3 linked regions of the Diceros bicornis minor genome follow. The main gene of each other region encodes a partner of the protein of the gene in region 2 in a complex. Links are inferred from orthologs where the notes say so. Each region holds a gene or a part of one and is shown on either strand. Other genes may lie near its edges. The genes, in order: TWSG1, GDF5 and HJV.

Region 1 (7,797 bases), on a different chromosome or scaffold from region 2:
TTGGGAAAAGAGAGAACAGCTATACAGGACATCAAGTTTACTGCTAATTAACACAACTTTATCGAGCGTAATAACCAGTATGTTTAGTGGAAAGGCCAGAGGCTTTGGAGTCAAACACATACCATGTTCCACAATCACTTACTAGCTATATGAACCTCGCCAAATTACTTAACCTCACTTTTCTCCACAAAAAAAAAGTAAGAGTGGTAGCTACATCACTAGGCTTGCCTCGATGACTGAAAGAGCGATCACTGTCAAGTACCTTGGAAGCAGATTCTCCAATCCCAGCCAACAACTTACCTGCAACCTTGAGAGACCTTGAGCCAGAACCACCCAGATAAACTACTCCCAGATTCCCAACCCTCAGAGACTGCATGAAATAATGTTTATTGCACTAAGTTGCTATGTTTGGGGGTAACTTATTACACGGAATAGACAACTAACACATTATACTTAGGGTAACATTTGTCCATTACTTGACCAGCTAAATTTTTTCCTAAACACAGTAAGTGAGCCCCTTTGCTATGTAAACTAAATTATACAAGGGAACCCTTTAATTCATCTGAATAGAGTGTTCATCACCTTGTACTGGCATGTTTACAAAGCAGGATATTATTCTCAGTACTGAACTTCTTGACTCTGACCTTGCTTGTACGCAAGAGAACTATGTGGGCAAAAATACAAACCAGTGTGTGACGGTTCAGTACCTCAGGCCCTGATCTAATACTCAGGCCTTACACTAAATTATATATATATACTTTATATACATATATACTGTATATATGTGCTCTATGTCTGCTCCACAATATATTTTAATATTAATAAAAAGTACTCTTGGTCCTACCTGAATGAGGCATTTGCTCACATCGCTAGCACAGAGTGCTTTATTACAACTCAGTGACACAGGGACCCATGTCAGGAAGACCAGGATGGTTAGAGTAAGCATAACAACAGAGTGTGACTTCATGTTTCTTCAAAGATAATCAGTAACTCCCAGGAAGCTAAACAAACAAAAAGAAAAAACAACAAAACTTTAATTCAAAGGCAAGTGATAGGGTAAAAGCAAATACAAAAATGAAAAACAAATAAACCAAGACTCATCGTTTGCGTTAGAAGACTTTTAAGTGATCATTTAAAGACCATTTTCAAGGAAAGATTACTCAAAACTCAAAAAAAAAAAAAAAAACCGACAATTTTATATCGTAATGTCTCGTTAGCCATCTTCAAAGATCTAGAATACTGAAATTCCTCAGACCACCCAGAAATGGTGACTGTAAAGGTAAAGTGAATATATATGTCTCTCTCTCTCTCTCTACAGATACATAAACAGATTTACATACATACACACACATCTGTCTATCTATACATCTCTAAACTATCAGTAACCTGAGAGTTTACCAGGCAAATAACTAGTTTCAATACTGCACTGCTACTATTCACCTTTAGTTTTAGGCCCATTATTCAACCTTTAGCCCATAAAAACTATTAATACTGTATTATAATTTTAAAACATTTAACAACATTTTAATTCTTAGAATTAAAACAAATTTTTAAAATGCAAATTATTCTATTGATTATTTATGACTATTTCATTTTGTCTCCTAATATATATTAGCCCAAATGAGGCTGCTCAAAGAAAGGAGTCAACAGCCGTTCCCTGAAATAATTTAGCAAATAACAAAGGGGATAATAAATTATTAATTGCATTAAGAACTCTGGATAATCTATTAAAATGTGAAGATATTCTTTTGATTCTATTGGCATCATAGATTCTTCCAAGTTATGAAGATATTACAGTTCAAAAAGAAAAAGGAAAGAAAGACCAGCACAAATTCTGACAGTGGTTAAACAACCAACATGGTTATTAAACTTTCAAAAAAGAGAAGATAAAACTTCTTGGGGTTAAAACATACTCCCAAAATATAATCAATTAAAGTAAATAACTACTGATGTAAGAGACATAAAAGGCGGGTTTATGGGGCCTTTATGATTACTGTAAACTACTATTCTAAGTATTACGAAGTACAATAAAGCAAAAGCAGTAAGAAGGTGAAAAGAATACAGGGCTCTGTGCCCGGTCTGACTGAATAAAGCCCTGGCGATTGCTACTCAGGCCCACAAAGTATTCCCTAGAGACCGTTAGTACCCCCAACTTTTAAATTATGTAACGACACACACAAGTCGGATGATTTCTGGAGCCACCAGTACATACTTGTCGAGGCAAAAGAAGGCATTTGAAAACTGATTTTTTCCACAACTAGTTTCATCCTACAAACACTAAAAATGGGATTTTTTTTTCATCTCTTAAGGCTGTCTTCTGAAGTGTGTGACAAATCACCCTACTCCCAAAATCTTACTAGAAAAAGTATTCAAGTAAATAAGGGCATGTACAAAGCAGCTAAGAGAATGCTTTAAAGGGCTTCTGGCTTGTTCCTAAGGAGTCAGAAACAGCACGGCGTCAGAACCGTGTTCCGCATCGTGGCAGCGTCTTGGGAGCGCAGGCTCCGGCGCCCTGCGAGCGGCCCCTACGGCAGCTGGCACTGACAGCAGCCTTTGTGCCGCTGGACCGAGCCCCGCGCCCAGCGAGGACGCAGAGGCGACGACGGCGGGCCGAGCCCGGGAGGGGCACGGGCGCTGCGGTGGGGGCGGCGGGGGGCGGCGGGCTCGGGCCCCGCCCGCCGCTCGCGCCCAGCACCCGCCTGCGACCGCTGCCGGACCTCGGCCGCCGCGTGGGCGGGGCCCGGGCCTCGCGAAGCCCTCCGCGGCTCCGGCCTCCCGAGGCCCGAGCGCGGCCCGGCGTCTCCCGGCCACAGTGCCGCCCCGCCCACTCCCGCTCACCGTGCGCCGCGAGGCCGCCTGGCCCTGGTTCCCGGCGGGTCGGCCGAGCCCGGGGCGCGCCGCGGGGCTGTGCGAAGGAGGCCGCCGCGCCCCGCGCCTCCGCGCCGCCCCAGCGCGCAGTGCCCGCGAGCCTCCGGCACCTTCGAGGGGCAGGCGGCGCGCTGCCTCCGCCCGCTCCCCGCTCCCCCCTTTCCCTCCGCCCGCGCGCGGGTCCCGCCGCCGCCAGCGCCCGCCAGGAGGCGTCTCTCACTCCCGGCGCCCCCGTCAGCGCACGCCGCCCGCCGGCCCTGGCCCCGCCCTCTGGTCACGCCCGCCGGCGGCCACACCCCCGGCCCGAGACACACCCACGGCGGCGCCCACGCGCGCTGCTCTTCGGCCCTGTGCCCCGCCCGCGTCTCCGGCTCTTTTGTCAGCCTTCTCCGGCTCGGCCGACCCTCCGGTGAGGCCCGGTGTCTGGGGCTCCTCTGCAACAGCTACCAATGCTTCAAGGCTTATCACGTCCTAGTCACGGAGCTGAGAGCGCGACGTGTGTGAGCTCACTGCATCCTCGCAGCGACCCTGTGAGAGAGCTGTTGTCTGCCCGGTTATGAGGATGCAAGACCGAGGCACCCAGTGCTTGAGTAGCCTAGGCCGTACCCAGTAGAGCGGGCGCTTGAATCCTTGTGACGACGTCAGACGTACGTTTCTGGGTCCTCAGACTTACGGAATAGGCATCTCCAAGGGTAGAGCCTTCAGAACTTCGTTGAGCAGTTCACTACGATTTGCTGGGCCCTTACCGAGTGCCGGCATGGCGCTAAGCGCTGGAAACAGAGGGGAGGAGGCCCCGGGGTGCTGGCCAGGAGGAGCTCACTGCCCTGTGGAAAGCAGGGACAGCTAGACAAATGGCTGCCCCCCCACAGCCTCACAGGAGAGGGCTACCCAAGTATGTATGACACCAGCACTCATTTCAGCCTGTATTTTAGAAAAATGAGTTCCTTCCACCAACCCTTAGCACGTAAAGGCGATTGAGAACTGCACTCAGTTCTTTCCCACAACCCTGGGAATTGCTTTTTAAAAGGATTCCAGAGTGATTAAGTTGGAGCCCGTTAGGCTAGATGACCCACAAGGTACTTTCACCTTGGAAATGTGACTCAGTGCTAAAGCTTAAGCTAGTAGAAGTCTTAAGTGTTTTACATTCCCCTTTGCTGATTAGAAGAAAACGGAAAGAATGCAAAGAGTTGATTGGCTCAGGAGGTGGATTGCATTATTGACAGTTGTCCATTTTTGTACAATAAGCAAATAAGTATACATTTTTAAAATCATCCCTGAAAATTATCCTAAAGAAATAATTGAGTCTACACAAATTTAATTTTAAGGATCTTATTCTGGCATTACTTACTGGTTAAATGAATGATGATATTCCAGCGCAATGGACTAAATCAGCTATTAAAAAATAACGTTGTAGTTCAGCGATTCTCAAACTTTTTGCTCTCAGGACCAAAACTCTTGAAAATTATTGAGGGCTCCAAAGCGGTTTTGTTTATGTATGCTACATCTATCAAAACTTTTAAAATTAAAACTGAGAAGTTTAAGAAATATTTGCTCATTATTTCATTTAAAAATAATAGACTCTATTATATGGGAATATGAATAACATTTTATGAAAAATACATATTTTTCCAAATAAAATTAGTGACAAGAGTGGCATTGTTTTACATTGTGCTATTCTCTTTAATGTCAAACTTAATAGAAGGCAGCTGGATTTTCACATCTGCTTCTGCATTCAAACTGTTGAAACAGCACATAAAACACTGGCCAGCTTAAGCTAGTTATGCTTCCTTAAAACAGATCATTTGAGTCAAACTTTGCTCAATAACAGAGATGGCACTGTGCATGTGCCAGGCAGGCACCCATATCCTCAAGATGACCGTGGAACCAAGAATCTTCCTTCAATAAGGAAAATCTGGCTTCTGGCAGCCCAAGTAGCTTGATTACCGTATATGGCCAGATTTGAGACTAGCCAATCAGCCTACATGGGCCCAGCTGTAGCTGAGTAGCCCCTAACTTCTTAAATTTTGCCCCAAACCTTGGATTGGAGAGACAGGTTTGAGAACCTTGCCTCCTGTCTCCTTGCCAGTCAACCTCGCAATAAAGCCTTTTCTTTTCTCAAAACCTGATGCCATAGTATTGGCTTCTATGTGCCTCAGGCAGCGGGCACTGTTGCAATAGCATGTCCTATGTAGCCTCTACGAAACTACTCTATACTAATGAGAGGAGAATGAAAAAGGCAAATAATGTCTTGGAATTAAAATAAAAATAGTTTTGAGCTCATAAACCCCCTGAAAAGGTCTTGGCACCCCCAGGGTCCCCAGATCATACTTTGAGAACTAGTGTTATTGAATATTGTTGACATGGAAATATATTCATGATATATTAACATTTTAAAGTAGTGTCTATATTTTTAGAATTATTAATATTACAAATTGTGTATGAAATTACTTTAAAAGGCCTGGAAAGAGAACCACGGTGTTAGAAGTGGTTATCTTTTGGTGAGGTTATCAGTGATTGTTGTTGTTGACGATGTTTTTTCTTTTTGCACATCTGCATTTTCCGATGTCTTTGTTTATATTACTTTGGTAATAAGAAAAAAATACAGTTATTTTTAATTTAAATTAAAGATCCTCTTTGATATTCCTTAGAAGATCAAATGGTACTTGAGCCCCCAGGTGGGTATCAAGTGGTTCTGGATCTGTGGTTGGCAGTTTGGGAATCTGAGAGCTGCAGGGGTCACTGTAGTGGCTATTTTATCTTACCAGAAGCCTTTATGATCAATGGAATAAAGCCTCTTAGTAGGGTTCAATGAAAAGGTCAAATGTCACCTAACCTTCAACCAGATGTGTCAGTGGTTGAGACTCTCAGTTAACCACAGAAAGGGGTGTATTAGTTCCCTATTGCTGCTGTAACAAATTATTACAAATTTACTGTCATAACACAACACAAATTTATTATCTTACAGTTCTGAAGGTCGAAAGTCCTAAAATCATGGTATGGGAAGAGCTGTGTTTCTTCTGGAGGCTCTAGGGGAGAGTCCGTTGTCTTGCCTTTGTAGCTTCTAGAAGCCGTCTACATTCCTTGTCTTGTGGCCAATTCCTCCATCTTCAAGGTCAGCAGTGTAGCATCTTCAAATCAATATCCCCCGCCACCTCATTTTCTCTCTCTCTCTGTCTGTCTCTCAACTCTGCCACCATAATCACATCTTCTTCTCTGACCCTCCTGCCTCCCTCTTATAAGAACTGTTATGGTTACATTGCGCCCACCCAGATATTCCAGGATAACTTCCCATCTCAAGGTCCTTTGTTTAGTCACATCTGCAAAGTCCCTTTTTCCGTTCTTATCTCTTTCTACTTGGGTGACTCAGCTGAATTAGGTGATTTGATTTTATAGATTTGAACTAAAGTGAGCCACAGTTTTTCAGCCTCTCATCCTGCTCCCGTGGAAGGGAAGATCTACTGGGGTTGGAAAGCCTGTTTCAGGATAAACTTCCTTTACTCCTTCCCTCTCTCCCCCTTCCCTCTTCCCTCCCTGCTTTGTTATGGGAATTACTGCAAAGCTATCAAAAGAATGGGAAAAGAAAATGAATTTCTTCCAAAGGCCTCTCCACTCTTCCTGTTTCAAACAAAAAGAAATGTAGAAAATCTTGAGGATATTTTTGTTTTGTTTTGTTGTATGTCGAACTCTAAAGTCCCTGGTAGGGGCTGGCCCGGTGGCATAGCAGTTAAGTGTGCACACTCTGCTTAGACAGCCTGGGGTTCACAGGTTCAGATCCTGGGCATGCAGAGACGCACCGCTTGTCAAGCCGTGCTGTGGCGGCGTCCCATATAAAGTAGAGGAAGATGGGCATGGATGTGAGCCCAGGGCCAGTCTTCCTCAGCAAAAAGAGGAGGATTGGCATCGGATGTTAGCTCAGGGCTAATCTTCCTCACTAATTAATAAATAAATAAATAAATAAATAAATAAATCCCTTGTAATTTCCTCTGCAATGACCAGGTTGTTAATCCACCAGGCAAAAGTGACACTCAAGCAGGCTCTTCCCAGGCTCAGGGTCTAGGGGCTGTAGGAGGCCCAGCTTACCAGTCGGGAGCATGCAGACCCACCTGCTGGAGAAAACGCTATTTCAGCAAACATACTTGCAAAGGGCTATCAAGGGCTATTGAGATATTTACATTTGAGAATGTTCTCAAATGCATCTAAGGCTTCCCAAAATCCAATGTTTCCACATGGCTCACTGTTGCCTACCAAATTAGGTCCAAACTCCTTATTTATTTAAAATATGTATTAATTTATTAATTTATTTTCATTTTAGCCTTTTTTCCCCCTTCTGATTACAGAAGTAATACATACTTGGCTGGGGAAAATTTGAAAATTATGAAACTTCATAATGAGAGCCCCTTGCCATTTTAGCCTCTAGAGATTGTCCTTAGTTTCGTGTATATTTCTTCCATCTTTTTTGAGTCACGTATATTAAGATGTATTTGCAAAAAAACTGAAATTATGTTAAGAGTACTTCACTGCAACTTGCTTTTTCCCACTTAACATATCTAGAACATCTTTTCATTCCAGAATGTGTAGATATTTTTGATGTTATACAAATCCTCTCCATAAGGCAAGCTGGTCTATTTTCACACATCATACTTTTCCAGTCTTGTATTTCTGCACATTCTTCTTTTTGCTTGGGACAGGATTCTTACATTTTTTCTGGCTACATAAATCCTGCCACTCTTTAAACTCTGTTCACATATCACCCTATGCAAATATAAAATATCGTCTTCCGTGACTCAACACAGTGGCACATGGTAAGTGCTCAGTCAGTGCTAACTGAATGAATTGATTAAATGAACAACTTCCTCAGCTAAAGTCCCTGACAGCCTCTGGGCTCCTAAATCATTTATTTGCACTGACCTTTCACTATTAGTATATATA
Region 2 (7,948 bases):
CCATCCTTCTCCAGGGCACTAATGTCAAACACGTACCTCTGCTTCCTGACCACAGGACCTCGGTCATCTAGAGAGAACACCCAGAAGTCATTCCCTGCAACTTCACCAAGAGGGCCAGTCATCTCGAGGCCTCAGGGGAGGGCCATAGCTCTCTCTCCTTCAAGAGAGCTTTCTCTAACCTCTTCCCCACTCTGACAGATGCCAAGACCCAAACCACTGAGAGCGAGCCTTTTTCAAAACAAGTGAGCTTCCTACACAGCCGACCAAGTAAGGTTGTTTATCTGTAAATGTGGCTGTGGGTGATTTGAGTGATTCTAGGTGTTTGTGTCAGTGATGCTCCTATCAGAGACCCATTAGCCTTAGAACTGCCTGCTACCTGTCCCTCTCCCATCTGTTGTCTAACATGATATCTCATTGGTGAGATAGGTGGGGTAGGTATTCTAATTACTCCTGTTTTTCCAGAGGAGGAACCTGAGGCTCAGCGAAGTCAGGTGACTTGCTCAAAGTCACTCAGCTAGGATAAAGCAGAGTTGGAACTCCAGCCTAGAGCTTTTTTTTGCCGAGGAAGATTGGCCCTGAGCTAACATCTATGCCAATCTTCCTCCTTTTTTTGTGTGTGTGTCGCAGCCACAGCATGGCTTGACGAGTAGTATAGGTCCACGCCCAGGATCCAAACCTGCGAACCCCAGGCCACTGAAGTGGAGCACACTGGACTTAACCACTATGCCACAGGGCCAGCCCCTAGCCTAGAGCTTTTTATACCCAATCCTGAGCTGCTTCCACGATACCTTATAGAAGATCTTAGTATTCTCGTTTTACAGATGAGGCACAGAGAGGAGGCTTGACTTTCCTAAGGTCACACAGCAAGTTAATGACAAAGCTGCTCTATAATCCAATTTCCCTGGCTTCCCAGTCTAATGATTTTGTTGTGCATGTGTCTTACCCTGCTGGGTATGTGAGTGTGTGTGTGTGAGTGACAGTCTGTGTGCATGTGTGTATTATTGGGCTTATATGTGAGTATGAAATGTAATACATACTTTTTGAGTGACATGTTACGTGCATGTATGATTGGTCTTGTGTGAATATTTGAAGGATGTACATGTATACGTGTGTATATATGTAAGAAGAATCTATGTATATACAAGAAGGTGTGTGTGTGTGTGTGCACGTGTGTATGTAATTCAGCATGTATGTATGGCTGTTTGTGCGTACAAGAAGCTCAGTAGTATCTCCGAATCAGCATGCCCTCCTTGCTAAATACCAATTTGCCATTGGGAAGCATTCATATATTGCTCTAGAAAGTGACTAATTAGGCCTTTAAACTCCCCAACTCCCCCTCTGTCTCCCCCTCTGCAGGCTCCCTTAGTGCTGGGGGGGCACAGGGACTTATTTTATGAGCCCCCAAGGGGTCACAGCGTTCCCTAGCTGGGCAGGCAGCCAGGCCACCTCCCCCACCTCAGCCAGACCTGCTGCCTCTGTGCCTCCCCCGCCCTCTGTCATCCCCCACAGGCCAGCTCTAATGAGGAGCCTCTCCCACTCTCTGACCCTTCCCCCACCCTGCCAGCTAAAGCCCTAAGACTCTGAGAACCAGAGCATACACGCTGCAAGCAACCCTAGCAATCAGTGATCCACCTCCCTCTTCACATCTATGGAGAAACTGAGGCCAGGAGAGGGGAAGGGACTTGCTAAGATCACACAGCAAGTGGAGAGAAAAAGGCAAGACAGTAATGCTAGGTGGACAGAGGGAGAAGTGAGGGGAGCAGATATTCTCCTGGGTTAATGATAAAAATGATATGTGTTTAGGACAGGACATAAAGGTTCCATATTTGATAGGCTCTCAGAAATCTCCCAGTCTAACCCCCATATAGTTGTACAGATGAGAAAACTGAGACCCCCAAAGGGGGAAGAGACTTTCCCAAGGTCACATTGTGAGTTAGATCCTAAGTCTGCTCCCCTACTCCCTGTGTCTAAATGTCGTTCCATGACTCCAAGATGCCTTGTTTACTGTCTTCAACTATCCTGCCTCCTCTGCCCCCTAGCCTGAAAGAAAGTTGCAGAACCATGGGTATCTAGAGATTCATTTCTCTCTCTGCCATCTGAGAAAAACTACAAACCCCTGGAGCCTGGAAAGTTTGGCCAACTCACATAGGAACAGAACATGGCCTGGTAGTCAAGAGTCTTAGAGTCTGGTCCCCAGCTCTGCCACCAACTGGCTGGTCTTGTCTCCTCTCCAGGCTTCAGTTAGCCCCTCTGCAACTTGCAGGAATTGGACTTGGTGATTCCCAGGTGCCCTCCAGCTCTAACATGCCAGCAGCCTGGGACCTGGTATGTATGAAATACGTCCCAGATACCACCCCAGGCCAGATGCACGCACATCTCCCACCAGTGCAGTGTCAGGGCTCTGAAAGGCCCCTCCATGCATGCAGATGCCCCTCCCTCTGAGCCGTGCCCCTGCCACCCCGCCCCCTCACCTTGCCCTTTGTCAATAAAGCTGGTGATGGTGTTGGCCAGGCCAGCCTCCAACTTCACGCTGCTGTTGCCTCCCTTTCTGTCAGCATCGGACAGCGTCCTGTACAGCGAGAGCATGTACTCATGGGGCGTGATGGGGGGCGGGCGGAACGGCTCCTTGGGCTCTCGCAGGGGCCCAGGCTCTCTGGCCTTCTTCAGCAGGAAGGGGCTGGGGACAGATCCTGCCTTTGGGGGTGCCTTACCCCCGGGAAGCTGTCCTTTTGGGGTCACAGTCCGCGTTGCAGCCTGCCTTGTCTGGGGAAGGTGTCCTGGCTTGGGTTCAGAGCCACCCAATCTGGAGGGCAGCTTTTTGGGTTCATCCTTCTTGGGCTGTGTCAAGCCTCCTGTCTGCCCGGTGCCCCCCTTTGCCCTGGCACTAGTGGCCCCTCCACCATAGCTGTGACCCCCTGGCCTGAAGATGTTCCGGGCGAGAGGGGGCCTCTCCTTGGCTTCTGCTTTGGCCAATCCTGGCCTGGCCCCCTGGGGTCTCTGGCCCAAGTCAGGGGCACCCCACACAGTGCAGATGAATTCCAGGTCCAGCCAAGCCAGGTGCCAAAGCAAGAAAATGAGGAGTTTGGGGAGTCTCATCCTCTGGCCAGCCGCTGAATGACACCAAAGAGAACGGCGGCAGCAGCGAAGGTGCCTCTGGTTTGGCAGGAAAAACCATGAAAGGAGTGGACCCTCAAAAGCAGCAGCAGCAGCAGTAGCAGCAGAAGGAAAGGCTTTCTCCTCAGTCTGAGACTCTTTAAGTCTGCCGGGCGTGTGTTTGTATCCAGTCCCATAGTGGAAATGCTCTCGTATCCAGACGTGCACCGTCTCCAGTCAGCAGCTGAAAATAACTCGTTCTTGAAAGGAGAAAGCCGACCGCCCCCTTTCTCCTGCACAACTGACTGAGGGCTTGAAGGAGGCTTGTATAAGGCTGAGGGATTTTTCCAAGAAGGAAGAATGGCGTAATGCTGCCTGTGTGCTCCAGTTTTTTTTTTTTTTTTTTAAGTTTTGAATCCTTTCCAGTGAAAATACTTACACACACACACACACACATACACACACACACGCCTGCAGGTGCTCAGAAAAATCTTTTACAAACCTGAACTCAGGAATTGAAAACGGAATTCCAACCCAAACCAATTTAATTACTCTCTGATGTCATGCTGTCTAAACTCATTTAAGTGCGATATATTTATGTGAAAAAAATCACTGCTGCCCTTTCCAGGCCGTGGCTCATGGGGGCTCTTGGCACAGAGCCCCACAGCGGGACTCCGAGCTTAGGGGGCCTCTCAGTCTGTGGAGCCGACTCAGGGGTCTTCACCTCCACCTCACAGGACAGCCCACCCCACCTTCCTGAGGAGAGATGCTGAGGAATGAGCTCAAGGATCTTAAGCCCCCGAAGCATGGGGAGTGTGAGTTTTCAGTTAAGTCCTTGGGGTGTTTTTAAAGTAGTTTCAACCCCTGCATCTAGTCTGGGGCCTGATTTGTTGTTGGTGGGGGTGGGCAGCACAGATGGCAGCATTTACCCACAGTTTCTTTTATTTTAATAAACTTACGGTGACCCAGAGACAGAAGAATATCGGTACCCACTACCCTCCTCCTCCCGATGCCATGACTGAGCTCAGATCATTTCTTCAGGCTTCCGGGGGGCACTGCCACCCCTGAGCCCGCTCCTTGAATGGAGGCAGGTCCAGGGTCTACCTCACCACCACCCCAGCAAAGACAGACTCAGAGTTTTGTTGGAAATCACTGGCTGAGTCCAGAGGTGGCAGCCCCAGCTTGGGGCAGCAGCGGCCCCTGCAGGAAACTGGAAAAATGATTTCCCACCTGATGCTTTTCTGGTAGCTCTGGAAGAAGTCTGAATTCCAGCTGGACTCCTGGGAGAAAGGTATTTCCTTCACCTGCAATACCCTCCTTTTACTCCCACAACTGCAGAAGTCCTCCTCATCCTGAGAGCTTAAGCTGAAATTCACCTCCTTCTGGAAGCCTTCCCTGATCCCCAGACAGAGCCAATTACTCCTTCTTGTACATTTTATTACAACACTTGTCACACTGTAAGAAGTACAGCCACAGTAGAAGCAGTAGTCAGGTGGGCTTCCTTCTTAAGCTGAGATTCTTTGAGCCTACCTAATAGAGATCTGTTTGTACTCTAAACCTGGTGGACTCTAGATCAGGTGTACTCACCAGATAGGTTTCCCAGCATAAACTGGCACAGAGTAGGAGCTTAGTAAGTGTTTGATGAATCAAAGAAGATGAAACTCACAGCTGGGGTGTCCAGGTGCCTGACTAGCCTTTTCGTGGTGATGCTCCCATATCCTCACTGATCTTCAGAGCACAACAGCATAATTTGTCCATTTCAAGCTTCATCTAGGGCTCCTAGGTCAGAAAACTCAGTAGAGCTCCACCTCCCATCTCGAAGGACCAATGCACCACCAGGCACTTTTGTGGGGAGCTTTAAGGAAGAGCTGAATTCATTGCTATCCCTCCAGTTGCCCAGATTCACAACACTTGGCTTTCCTTTTGACCTGTCCCACTTTAACAGTCTTTTCTGGCATTCCTCCCTCCTCTCCATCCCCGCTGCCTCACTGTCTCAGTCCTCCTCCCTGCCTGTCCATCTATAATTCCCTTATGCCTGGCTTCCAGGTCTCCAGGATCTCTGTCCCAACCCTCCCTCTCTCTAAAACGTACCCATTGAAAAGTGCCAACACATGCGCCCTCTCCTCCATGAAGCTTCCTCTCATCCACCAGAAAATACACACTCCTGAATTGCCATCATTTTCTGTACCCCTTTCCACTTTGGCAGCTCAAAGATTATTCAGTTCTGCTTCTGCCCCATCTCGAGCACTGTTCATTTCTTCCACTCTGTGTACTTTTTTCATATTTTTAAAAACTATAACTTAATTCCTTATAACTGTAATAATTTATTTACATGTCTGTTTCCACCATTAGATTATGACTAGACTGTACCATATTTATCTTTCAATTATTCCCAGTGTTGGGCACAGGGCCCAGCACATAGCAGATTCTCAGTATGTGCTGTATGGATGAATGAATCTCTAACTGGCCCTTATATACAAAAGCCATCATTTTCTACTCAAAAGCGTAGTTACTTGTGGACATATCATGCCTTCCCCGCTGGGCCCTGAGCTCCTTAAAGGCAGGGGATTCCATCTTGCCACTTATTAGGCACTTTGTAAGCTTGAGTGAGTGAATAAATGAAGGGATGAATGAATCAAACAACCAAGATGCCCCTACACATGGTTGATCAAGAGCCAGGACTCTGGAGACAGAGCTGGTTTTGAATCCTGGTTCTGCTATATGGTTTAGTGCATTATGTGATCTTTGGAAACCTCTAAACCTCTTTGAAACTCTGAACACGTATCATGACAGTACCCACCTCACAGGGTTTTTATGGGGAGTCAATGAAATGAATCATAAAAAGTGATTAGCCTAGCACCTGGAAGATAATAATTGCTACACTTTATCGAGCACTTACTCTAGTAAACTAGACTCTGGTCTTTGTATCCCATGGCATTTTTATCATATTTATCTCCACAACAATCCTATGATGAAGGTACTCTTAGTACCCCCGTTTTACAGATGAAGAGATCAAAGTTCAGAAAGGTTAAATTACTTTTTAAGCCTGATTCCTACTTTGACATATTTATACAAAAGAATCCTAACCTGGCTTCTAGAAACACAAGAAGTGAAAGGGTGGTGGGGGCAATTACAGTATTCTTGGCTTTCAGTCAAGGTCTCATCCAATGGGCTGGGACCTGGGGACATGGAGGAGTCAGTCTCAGAGCAGGGGCTATTGTTTGAGGACCAGGGAGCTCCAGAGATGGGGTGGGAGCAGGGAAAGGGGATTCTGAGCTTGCTTAGAAGGCCCTCTCCAGGGAGGAGCCCAGGGGACCAGCCTGGCTCTCACTATAAAGGTGACTAATCACTTCGGTCCCCTCTGGTAATTGCAACCAGATGCTGCCGCTGGCAGCACTTCAGTCCCAACATGTTTAATTACTGGGATGCAGAGTCCCTCGGTCCCACATGTCCCCCTACCTCCTCCTCTCCTGTCAGCAATATTAATGTCAAACTTGAGGTGGAAGATGGGAGCCTTGGGAAGCCACTGGCGTGGGAATAATCTTTACAGTCCCTTCTACCATGTAGACCCTCTAACTCTTATACATGTTTCCCCGTCAATTATCTCATTGGCACGCCACAAAATGTCCTCATCAAGTCGGCAGGCCAGAGTAGTATTATCTCCATCTCATAGATAAGCAAACAGTGAACTGAATAATAATAATAATCCTTTGCTTTTTTTCAAGGACTTAGCAATTTTCAAAGTGGTTTCAGAACTGTTATGCTATCTGAACCTCCCGAGATCTCTCGGAGTCAGTCCAGCACAGCACAGTGGCTCACAGCAGAGGCTCCAGGATCAGACAACTTGGTTCATCCTGGCTCTGTCACTAACCAGTTGGGTGACCTTGGGTATTCCTTCATTTATGTACTTAATTATCCAGCAACTATATATTGGGTGCCTGACATGTGGTAGGTCTTGGGCCTGAGCACTGGATATCTAGCAGTGGACAAGAGCACCAAGTCTGTGCTCACATTCCAGTGGAAGAGACAGACAAACAAGCAAACAAATGCATAATTTCAGAGAATTCTAAGTGCTGTGAAGAAAAATTAAGCAGGGTCAAAGGGATGTCTATTTTAGATAGGAATGTCTCTTTAACGAGGTGACGTTTGAGCAGAGAGCCAGATGTAGTGAGGGAAGGAACCATACAAAGGTCTGGAGGATGATCATTTCAGGTGGAGGAAACAGCAAATGCAAAGCTCCTGAGACAGGAATGTGCTTGGCACATCTGGGGAGCCATGAGAAGTTGGTGCAGCTGAGGCAGAGCGAGTAAGTGGAAGAGTGAAAGGAGATGAGGTCAGATCATGCCAGGACCACATGGAGTATGGCCTTGCAAGCCAGAGAGAGGATGTTGGATTTTATTTTTAGGGCAGTGGGAAACCCAATGGAGGGTTTGAAGCAGGAGAGTTGTCTGATTTGTAACTTAATGATTAAGAGCTGGGCTACCTGCCTTCGAATCCTGGCTCCCTGATTCATCAGCTGTGTAATCTCAGGCTAATTATTTAATCTCTGTGCCTCAGTTTCCTCATGTATAAAACGAAAATAATAATAATATACCTACCTCATAGAGTTGTTATTAGTTAAATAGTGAGTAAAGTTCTTAGAACAGTGTCTCATGCATAGTAAGCACTACATAAATGTTAGCTGTTATTTACATTTAAAAAATATCACTTCTCTGAACCCTGTTTCTTTACCCGTAAAATGAGGATAAAAATATCAGCTTCACAGACTGGTTATCAGAACTAAATGTATTTATGTATATAAAGTACCTTTCTTTCAGTGACCAGCATATAGTAGGTGCTCCATAAATTATAGTTT
Region 3 (7,182 bases), on a different chromosome or scaffold from region 2:
TGATAGCTTCCTTCCTATCTGTGCCGTTCTCCAAAGGCAGAGATTCCATTCACCTAAGATCCGGACAACCCCCACTTCATTTCTGAACCAAGAAAGCAGAACACATCCTGCCCACATATGTTCATCAAATAGACTCTTTTCCCTAATCATTTCCTCCTCTTTCCATCTTCCAAGAGAAAAGATCATTAGATTTTGAGTCTCTTATAGGTAATGATCATGTCTTCCTCTTTCAGTTCTCCCCTCTTAGGAGTCTCAACCCTTAAGTTCTACTGATCATCAGGACCCCTATAACCTCTAAGCTTGTAGGGGTGATCTCAGGAGTAGATGGACTGGAACAATTCAATTACTATAAATAGGACTGGAAAAATTGGTGAAGAGCCCCCACAGAGGTCTGGAATGCAGTAACTTTGCCCCGAATCCTTATTCTGTGATCATTTCAAACCTGGACTGCAGCCTTATCTGACTCTGGGTAAATGTCATTGTTTCATGTGTCTCCTAGTCCAGTTTCCTTCAGTGATTCTTTATGTTCTTCCCTACCAATCTCTATCCCCAAATAATTTCTAAACCAATCATGGGATTGCTGGCCTATCTATTGAATGCTAAGCCATAGAACAAAGAGCCCAGAAAGGAGTGGAGCTAGGGGGGTTGCTGAGGAAAGAGGAACTCCGGTATCTGAGGGGAAGAGATGCAGCTTTTCTAAGTCTGGTAGGAAGGCTCTGGCATCCTCCAGAGCTGCCTGAGCTGCCACAGTAAAGTTGGGGTCACCAGAGATTGAAACATCAAAGACACAGGAATGGAAGTAAGCGTCTTCAACTGGCAGCCCTTCCTTGCACAGCTGTCTGGCAGTATCAAGTGTTATAGCTCCCCGACGATTGCGCTCTGAGCGAGAGAGTCGTTGACTTGGGGGGCACCCCCCAACACAGAGCTGCAGGTCCTGCTCAGCTGAGAAGGCCCTGGCTACATCCTCTGCTACCTTGATGGAGAAGGAGAGTTGCCCAGCTGTCTGCCGAATGATTATAGTTGTGCCAATATAGGCAGCTCGAATCTCCACATGGCTCCCAAGGTTAGCAGTTCGAATGGACAAACTTGAGCCCCCAGGTCGGTCACCTCCATTGATAGAACCATCTTCAAAGGCTGCAGGAAGATTGTCCACCTCAGCCTGGTAGACCTTCTGATCAATGCATTCCTGCATGTTCTTAAATATAATGGTGAGCTGTGAGGGCAAGAGGGAAAACAGTTCATTTTGGGCTCAGTGCATCCTACCCCCTTCCCCCAATTAGGCCTCATACATAGTCAGGGATATGATCCCAGTAGAGATGCAAGGCTTGTTCTGGCTCTCACTGCTTGATCCCTTCTTCTCTTTATGTTCCAATATTGCCTCATCCCTGGTCAACCCTTCCCTTCCTTTTTGGTCTCAATCTCAGCAATTCCCACAGGAGAAGTAAAGTTTCCCTTCTCTAACTTCTCAACCCAGGGCTCCTCAGCTCTCCTCTCCCCAACCTTCTCTTCAATGTTTTCTGCATTGGAGTGAAATTCCCACCAAGGAAAAGTGATTTACAGGAGCAACTGTCTGGCAGGTGGGAGTGATTCAAGATGTGGGAGTGGTTGAGGAAGAAAGGGAATAGGGAGCATTGCTGTGGAATAGTGGGAGTGGGATGGGAGTGGTACGGTGGGGTGACCATGAGAGGGTCTGGAGGAGCCGTTGAGTCCCTGACCTTCCGGGTGGTGGTGGCGTTGGCCCCCGATGCCACAGGGGAGCTGGTGGCCTGGACAAAAAGGAAGTCATTATCCAGCAGGGGCCAAGCTCCTTGGACACGGCACGTGTGAAAATGGTGGTGGAAGCTGCGGACGTGGGGGTCCCCGAAGGAGGCACAATGCAAGAAGCCCGGGGGACGACCGTGCAGCCGGGAAAACCGGCCTTCATAGTCACAGGGGTCCGGGGCTGGGGGGCCAGAGGAGCGGATGGGGCCTTCGCCTGGAAGGGCTGGGCCCCGGGGCGGGGGCGGGGCAGTGGGGCCTTGGCGGGAGCAGTTGTGCTGGATCATCAAGTCTTCGATGCCGTGCACAGCCGAATGGAAGGCGAGGTCCCCGCGGCAGGTGCGGGCTGTGCGCCGAGTGCAGAGGGCGTAGGAACGGAGGGCTCGACAGAGGCCGATGGAGCCCACCCCTCCACCCCGGCCTCCTCCTCCTCCTCGAAGCGCTCCTGGTGAACCCCCACCTCTAAGGCTCAGGGTGGACGACACGTACTCAGCATTGCAGCGGAGGATCTTGCATTGAGAATGAGCTGAGATGGAAAGGAGAGGATTGTGAGATGGTCCCCAGATCCGGGCTCTATCGGAGTATGCTCTCCCAATCTCAGCAGGGGATTCCAGGCGTTCCTAAAACCCAGCTGAAGGCCTTCCCCAGTCCCCAGCCCCCAGGTCCCTAGTCCTGTCGTCACTCTGTCTTGCTAAAAATATGTAAGACTGCTAGATCTTTTCTCCCTGTCGATCAAAGGCTTTCCCAGAACCCTTCCCCAAGATGAATGAGAAACAAAATATACCCATTTGAGAGTGGGATGAATGACAAGGACTCCTCAGCACCCATCTCTTCTCACTCACACATGCTTACACATGCCCACCCCTACATAGCAGCCTACCCTCTAGATTCCCCAAACCCTTCCCTAGCCCTTCCTTACCATGTCCACAGAGGAGCAGCAGGAGAGTGAGAGTGCTTAGAGTTGGGGGACTGCCATGGGTGGACCGGGGACTAGGGGACTGGCCTGGATCCCCCATACCTATCCAGCCAGGTCCCCCCAGGCTCCAGTTCTTTCCAGCTGATGACCCTCCTACCTAGTGAATTTTGACCGGACGTCCTGTAAGGGACTGAAAAAAGAAATTTGGCTGGGCATGGGGAGAGAGAAGAGTTGAAGATTGTTCAGGATGATGTAAAGAGAATCTGGGGAGATCAAGTAAAGAATGAGCAGACTGGAGTTTGGGGAGAAAAGGGCTCCCGAAACTGTAAGTGTGGCTGTTAAGCCTCTGTGCCCTGCTCTTGTGGCCACTTTCAGGTCCCTTATGCAATACCCCTAGGTGGGGGTGGAAGGAAGGTTGAGTGGACTCAGGGAGCAGAGTCCACTGTATTGCCCCATCCTGAACTACCAAATAGCGGAAATGTCAAAAAAGGAGGAATCATGGGGATAGATCAGATCCCAGTCATCCCAGTGGGCTCCCCAATAGAGTTAGGATCTGAAAATACTTCAGAAACATACCTCTTATTTGTCCCTCCCCATCAGGAGGGGACACCCTCTAGGGGTCATTAATTTCTTTTCCTCCTTTGTGTCAGAATTTTCAGCAAGGAGTAAGACTGGAATACCCATCCCCTCTCTAGAACATCAGTATTCAAATGAAAAGGAAACGGATTTCTTTCATCTACTCTAGAGAGCTGCAATTATAATCCTTCTCTCTCATGGAATAATGGGATGCAAACCAAGCATGCAAATCAACATTTGTTTGTTCTGAGTCAACAGTTCTTGAATTTTTCCAAACCTGATTGAAGAACCACTCTTTTCATTAATCTTCCCTTTGCAAATTCAGAAGTTCTCAATCTTTTTATGAGGACAGGGCTTGGGGAGGCACTAACCTCCTCCTGCCGAATTCCCCACTCTTGGGGTAAGGATATGATTGGGGGAAGAGTCATGCAGGAGGGAAAATAGGATGGTGGGACTAGAGTTGTGAGGAGAAATCATTTACAACAAGGAGTAGCCCCCACTCTTGGAAGTCCATTGTGAAGGCCACTGCTAAGCAGGGGCAGGGTAGAAGGGTATCAGTGACTAATCATCTGAGGTTAAATTTGGTCTTGGTGAGAAAACCACAGAATGGGGGATGTGGGAATCTCCTCCTAAAGAAGGAGACTTCATCAGAAGTCTTGAGGTAACAAGGTAAGGAGAGAGCTAAGACTGCCTAAAAAGAGACTGAGGATTAAACTTCAAATGGCCAGAGGCCAGAGGCCAGAAAGAAATAAGACAGAAGGAGAAATGGAAATTGGGACACCTTAGTATGGAAGAAATCCTAGCTTTTGGACCAGAGACATCCACATAGGTGTCGTAGTTTTAGGAAAGTCTAACTTCAATCCTAAAGCTTATTAAAGGAATTGCAATTTCATTTTCACTTACTGTTTCCAGAGGTCAAACATTACTCTGATATCCAATTCTCCAGCCATGACTGCCTACTCTGTCGGTCAGCTCCAGCCAGGGGATGCCCCGTCTCTTTCTCCATGTCTCCCACAGGTCCTCAGACTGGCTGCAATCTCACTGAGGTCAGGGAGCCAGAGAAGGTTTGGTGTGGGGGAAGGAGGAGTATATGGCTGGCCGGAGTACTGGACAGCTGAGCGGGGGAGGGAGGTGGCTACTGAGTTGACTGTTTTAAAAATAGCTAAGTCCAAAATTCCAGGAGTGTTGGTGGGGGTAGGGTATGGGACTTGGGGGAGTGGGGAGGGTAGGAGGATTAGAAAGAATATGGCGTATAGGGTACCAAGTCGGGGAGGGGAGACAAATATTACAGGCAGGTCAAATACCCAGTTCCAGCTTATATGACTCTAGTCACTGCCTACTCCAGGCAGCCCTCCAGCATTGTCAATAATGAGCTCCTGGCCTTTAAAAATTAGAGTGGCCAATTGTATACTTTTCGTTCACCCTCATCCCTGCTATATTGAATATCGCATTTAGTTTCTATAGAACGTATCTAGGAGGTAGCTGACTTTAAGTAAGATCCATAGCAGAGGTGGTTCACAGCCCCTCCCCTATTTTTGCAGAGTATTTCAGGAGGACTAAAAAAGCCAGCTGTCCAGAGAAGAAATCTGAGCTCTGAGTTGTTTAGGATGAGGGTTTGTTTCAGTCTACCAGGTCAGATCCTTGCAGCTGTCTATCACCCTACCTCCTCCATTTTCATTCCCTTAGTTTATACAGCAATTCCCCTTCCCTCCCTCTCACCAATAAACAAAAAAATAAAAAGCTCCTAAGTTGCTGGGAGAGGAGGCTAGCAAAGGCGAAGAAGTGAAGAAAGAGTAGAGATAGAATGTTTTGATGATTACTAATCTACAGGGGAGCGGGACTTGGAGAGACAAACTGAGAGAAAAAGAGACTCAGAAAGGTAATTTTGTGGAGTAACATAATCTTGTGACCTTTTAAGATGTTGCAACCAAGGAATTTAGCTATGTCATATTTTTGCAGCCATAAGCATCTGGGATCATCTCTTAGTACTTGCCAAGTGAAATTAACACAAGGGCTGATTCCAAATAGTGTCAGTAAGGCATCTGCATTAATTGGCTCTACATTTAATGCAAAATCTAGAGGCCCACACAGTACTCTTCTCGTTATTATACATATGTATTTGACAAATTTAGTTTTTTTCTCTACCACATGAGGCCATATCACAAGGGCTTTTATTACAAAAATGTAAAATGCCCCCAACCAAACTTCAAGTGACTTTAAAGCACAATAATTTGACTATGGCATCCCAAGTGGGATATACTCTAAGGACAAAAAGAAGTGTAAAAATATTTTAAAGTAGTCATGTTGTTGGTGGTTGTGTTGGTATTGTTATTCTGAAACTATTGTGAGTGTATTGTGGGATAAAACAAATGAATAATAATGTTAGTGTCTTTGTGAACCAGGATTTTTGGTGTAGAATAAAGAGATACAGATTTGTGATGGAAGAAGTTAACTAAAAACTGTATAATTCTGGATTTAAATTGGAAGTATAACTGTGAGCTCATGGTGTATTTTATCCTAAAACATTTTCTATCTTTATCCTGAAAAGGCCTAGAAATGATAACTCAGTAGCAATGAACACCCCTAGTGTCCAAATTGAGCTATCTAAATGCCGTTTCCCACTAAAAGGAATTCCTTGGAGAAATTTCAGGTGTGGGGCAGAAATTGTCCAAGATAAGCAAGGAAGCTTTCAAAGGCTATTAGGAGTGTACCAAAAGGACTCAGAAGCAACTAGAATAGTTCCCACTGGCCAAAGATGGGACAATTTGAGTGTGAAAATGGATACTCTCTGCGATGGATTTAAACATATCAAATATATTCAAATCTATGTGTTCACATTGATGCTTAAAAATACAAACTCGTTGGTCATTGTTGGAGAATGCTAGAGGATCAACTCATTATTTTGAAGATTGCTAGTAATTGGAAGGAATCGGGCATTTATCCTGTTTTTCCTGTGGTAATTCAAGACAAGAGGAAAATTTCTCTTTGTAGAAGTTTTCCAGCAAATGAATGAAGAAAGAATGGCATAATTAGAATATCAACATTTCATAACTCCTAATGAATTAAGGTATCTGGGCAATGATCAACAGCGACTGTTATCCATTACAAAAGGAGATACAAACATTATGTTCTTCTGATCATAAGTAGAGTACACAATTCCACCTACGAAGTAGCCTTGCATTCTGAATCTGATCAACCTCTAGACTAGAGCTAACTACTAATTTGGAGGAAACACAGGAGACATCAAGTGATACCTCAGAGATGCAAATCCAGAGTGTGGGAATATGCTACAGGACAAATGCCCTGGGTTCTTCAACAAATAAACTGGAAAAAAAAGATGGAGAGGGAACCTATAAACTAAAAGAGACTTGAGAGACATCAAACAGTTGTAGAGTATGGACTTTATTGGATCCTAAATCAAGAAAAAAAAATTATGAGACAATTAGGGAAATTTGAATGCTGATGAACACTCACTGAATACTTGGTGATTTATAAGGAATTATTGTTAAAGTTGTTGGTGTCATAAATGGTACTTTTTTTTTTTGTGAGGAAGATTGGCAACAAGGTTGGCCCTGAGCTAACACCCCATAAATTGTACTTTTTAAAAAACAAGTGCTTATCTTTTAGAGCTACATCTTGAAATATCTGCAGATAAAAAGATAGGATAGGGGGCTGGCCCCATGGCCTAGTGATTAAGTTCCGTGTGCTCCGCTTCAGCAGCCCAGGTTCGGTTCCAAGGCGCAGACTTATACCACTGGGCGGCAGCCATGCTGTAGCAGCGACCTACATGCAAAAGAGAGGAAGATTGGCACAGATGTTAGCTCAGGGTGAATCTTCCTCAGCAAAAAAAAAAAAAAAAAAAAAAGCATACGTAGGATTTGCTTTCAAATAGTCCAAGATGGGGGAGAAGTGAGTGGGAGTAATGATAAAAC

Evidence for each region.
Region 1: the proteins of GDF5 (region 2) and TWSG1 are in contact, whole or in part, in a crystal structure (PDB 8BWL), measured with the Homo sapiens proteins. The link is inferred for Diceros bicornis minor from reciprocal best matches to the Homo sapiens genes GDF5 and TWSG1. Residues at the interface, in NP_000548.2 of Homo sapiens: Glu434, Phe435, Pro436, Ser439, His440, Glu442, Asn445, Val448, Ile449, Leu452, Ser455; in NP_065699.1 of Homo sapiens: Cys26, Lys28, Cys31, Ala32, Ser33, Val35, Ser36, Leu39, Ile40, Cys44, Gln45, Cys46, Arg47, Cys73, Val74.
Region 3: the proteins of GDF5 (region 2) and HJV are in contact, whole or in part, in a crystal structure (PDB 6Z3L), measured with the Homo sapiens proteins. The link is inferred for Diceros bicornis minor from reciprocal best matches to the Homo sapiens genes GDF5 and HJV. Residues at the interface, in NP_000548.2 of Homo sapiens: Met412, Trp414, Trp417, Phe478, Asp480, Ser481, Lys488, Tyr490, Met493; in NP_001366281.1 of Homo sapiens: Arg95, Arg98, Gly99, Leu101, His104, Ser105, His108.

What each region holds. Positions count from the first base shown.
Region 1 is NC_080755.1:7,358,924-7,366,720, reverse strand, and holds the start of TWSG1 (twisted gastrulation protein homolog 1), read right to left. Parts: upstream 3,001-7,797; 5' UTR 2,839-3,000; intron 1,002-2,838; 5' UTR 968-1,001; coding exon 845-967; intron 1-844. UniProt on the Homo sapiens protein: May be involved in dorsoventral axis formation. Seems to antagonize BMP signaling by forming ternary complexes with CHRD and BMPs, thereby preventing BMPs from binding to their receptors.
Region 2 is NC_080758.1:24,266,939-24,274,886, reverse strand, and holds the start of GDF5 (growth/differentiation factor 5), read right to left. Parts: upstream 3,097-7,948; coding exon 2,472-3,096; intron 68-2,471; coding exon 1-67. UniProt on the Homo sapiens protein: Growth factor involved in bone and cartilage formation. During cartilage development regulates differentiation of chondrogenic tissue through two pathways.
Region 3 is NC_080743.1:53,509,190-53,516,371, forward strand, and holds HJV (hemojuvelin), read right to left. Parts: upstream 2,793-7,182; 5' UTR 2,775-2,792; coding exon 2,678-2,774; intron 2,285-2,677; coding exon 1,716-2,284; intron 1,214-1,715; coding exon 590-1,213; downstream 1-589. UniProt on the Homo sapiens protein: Acts as a bone morphogenetic protein (BMP) coreceptor. Through enhancement of BMP signaling regulates hepcidin (HAMP) expression and regulates iron homeostasis.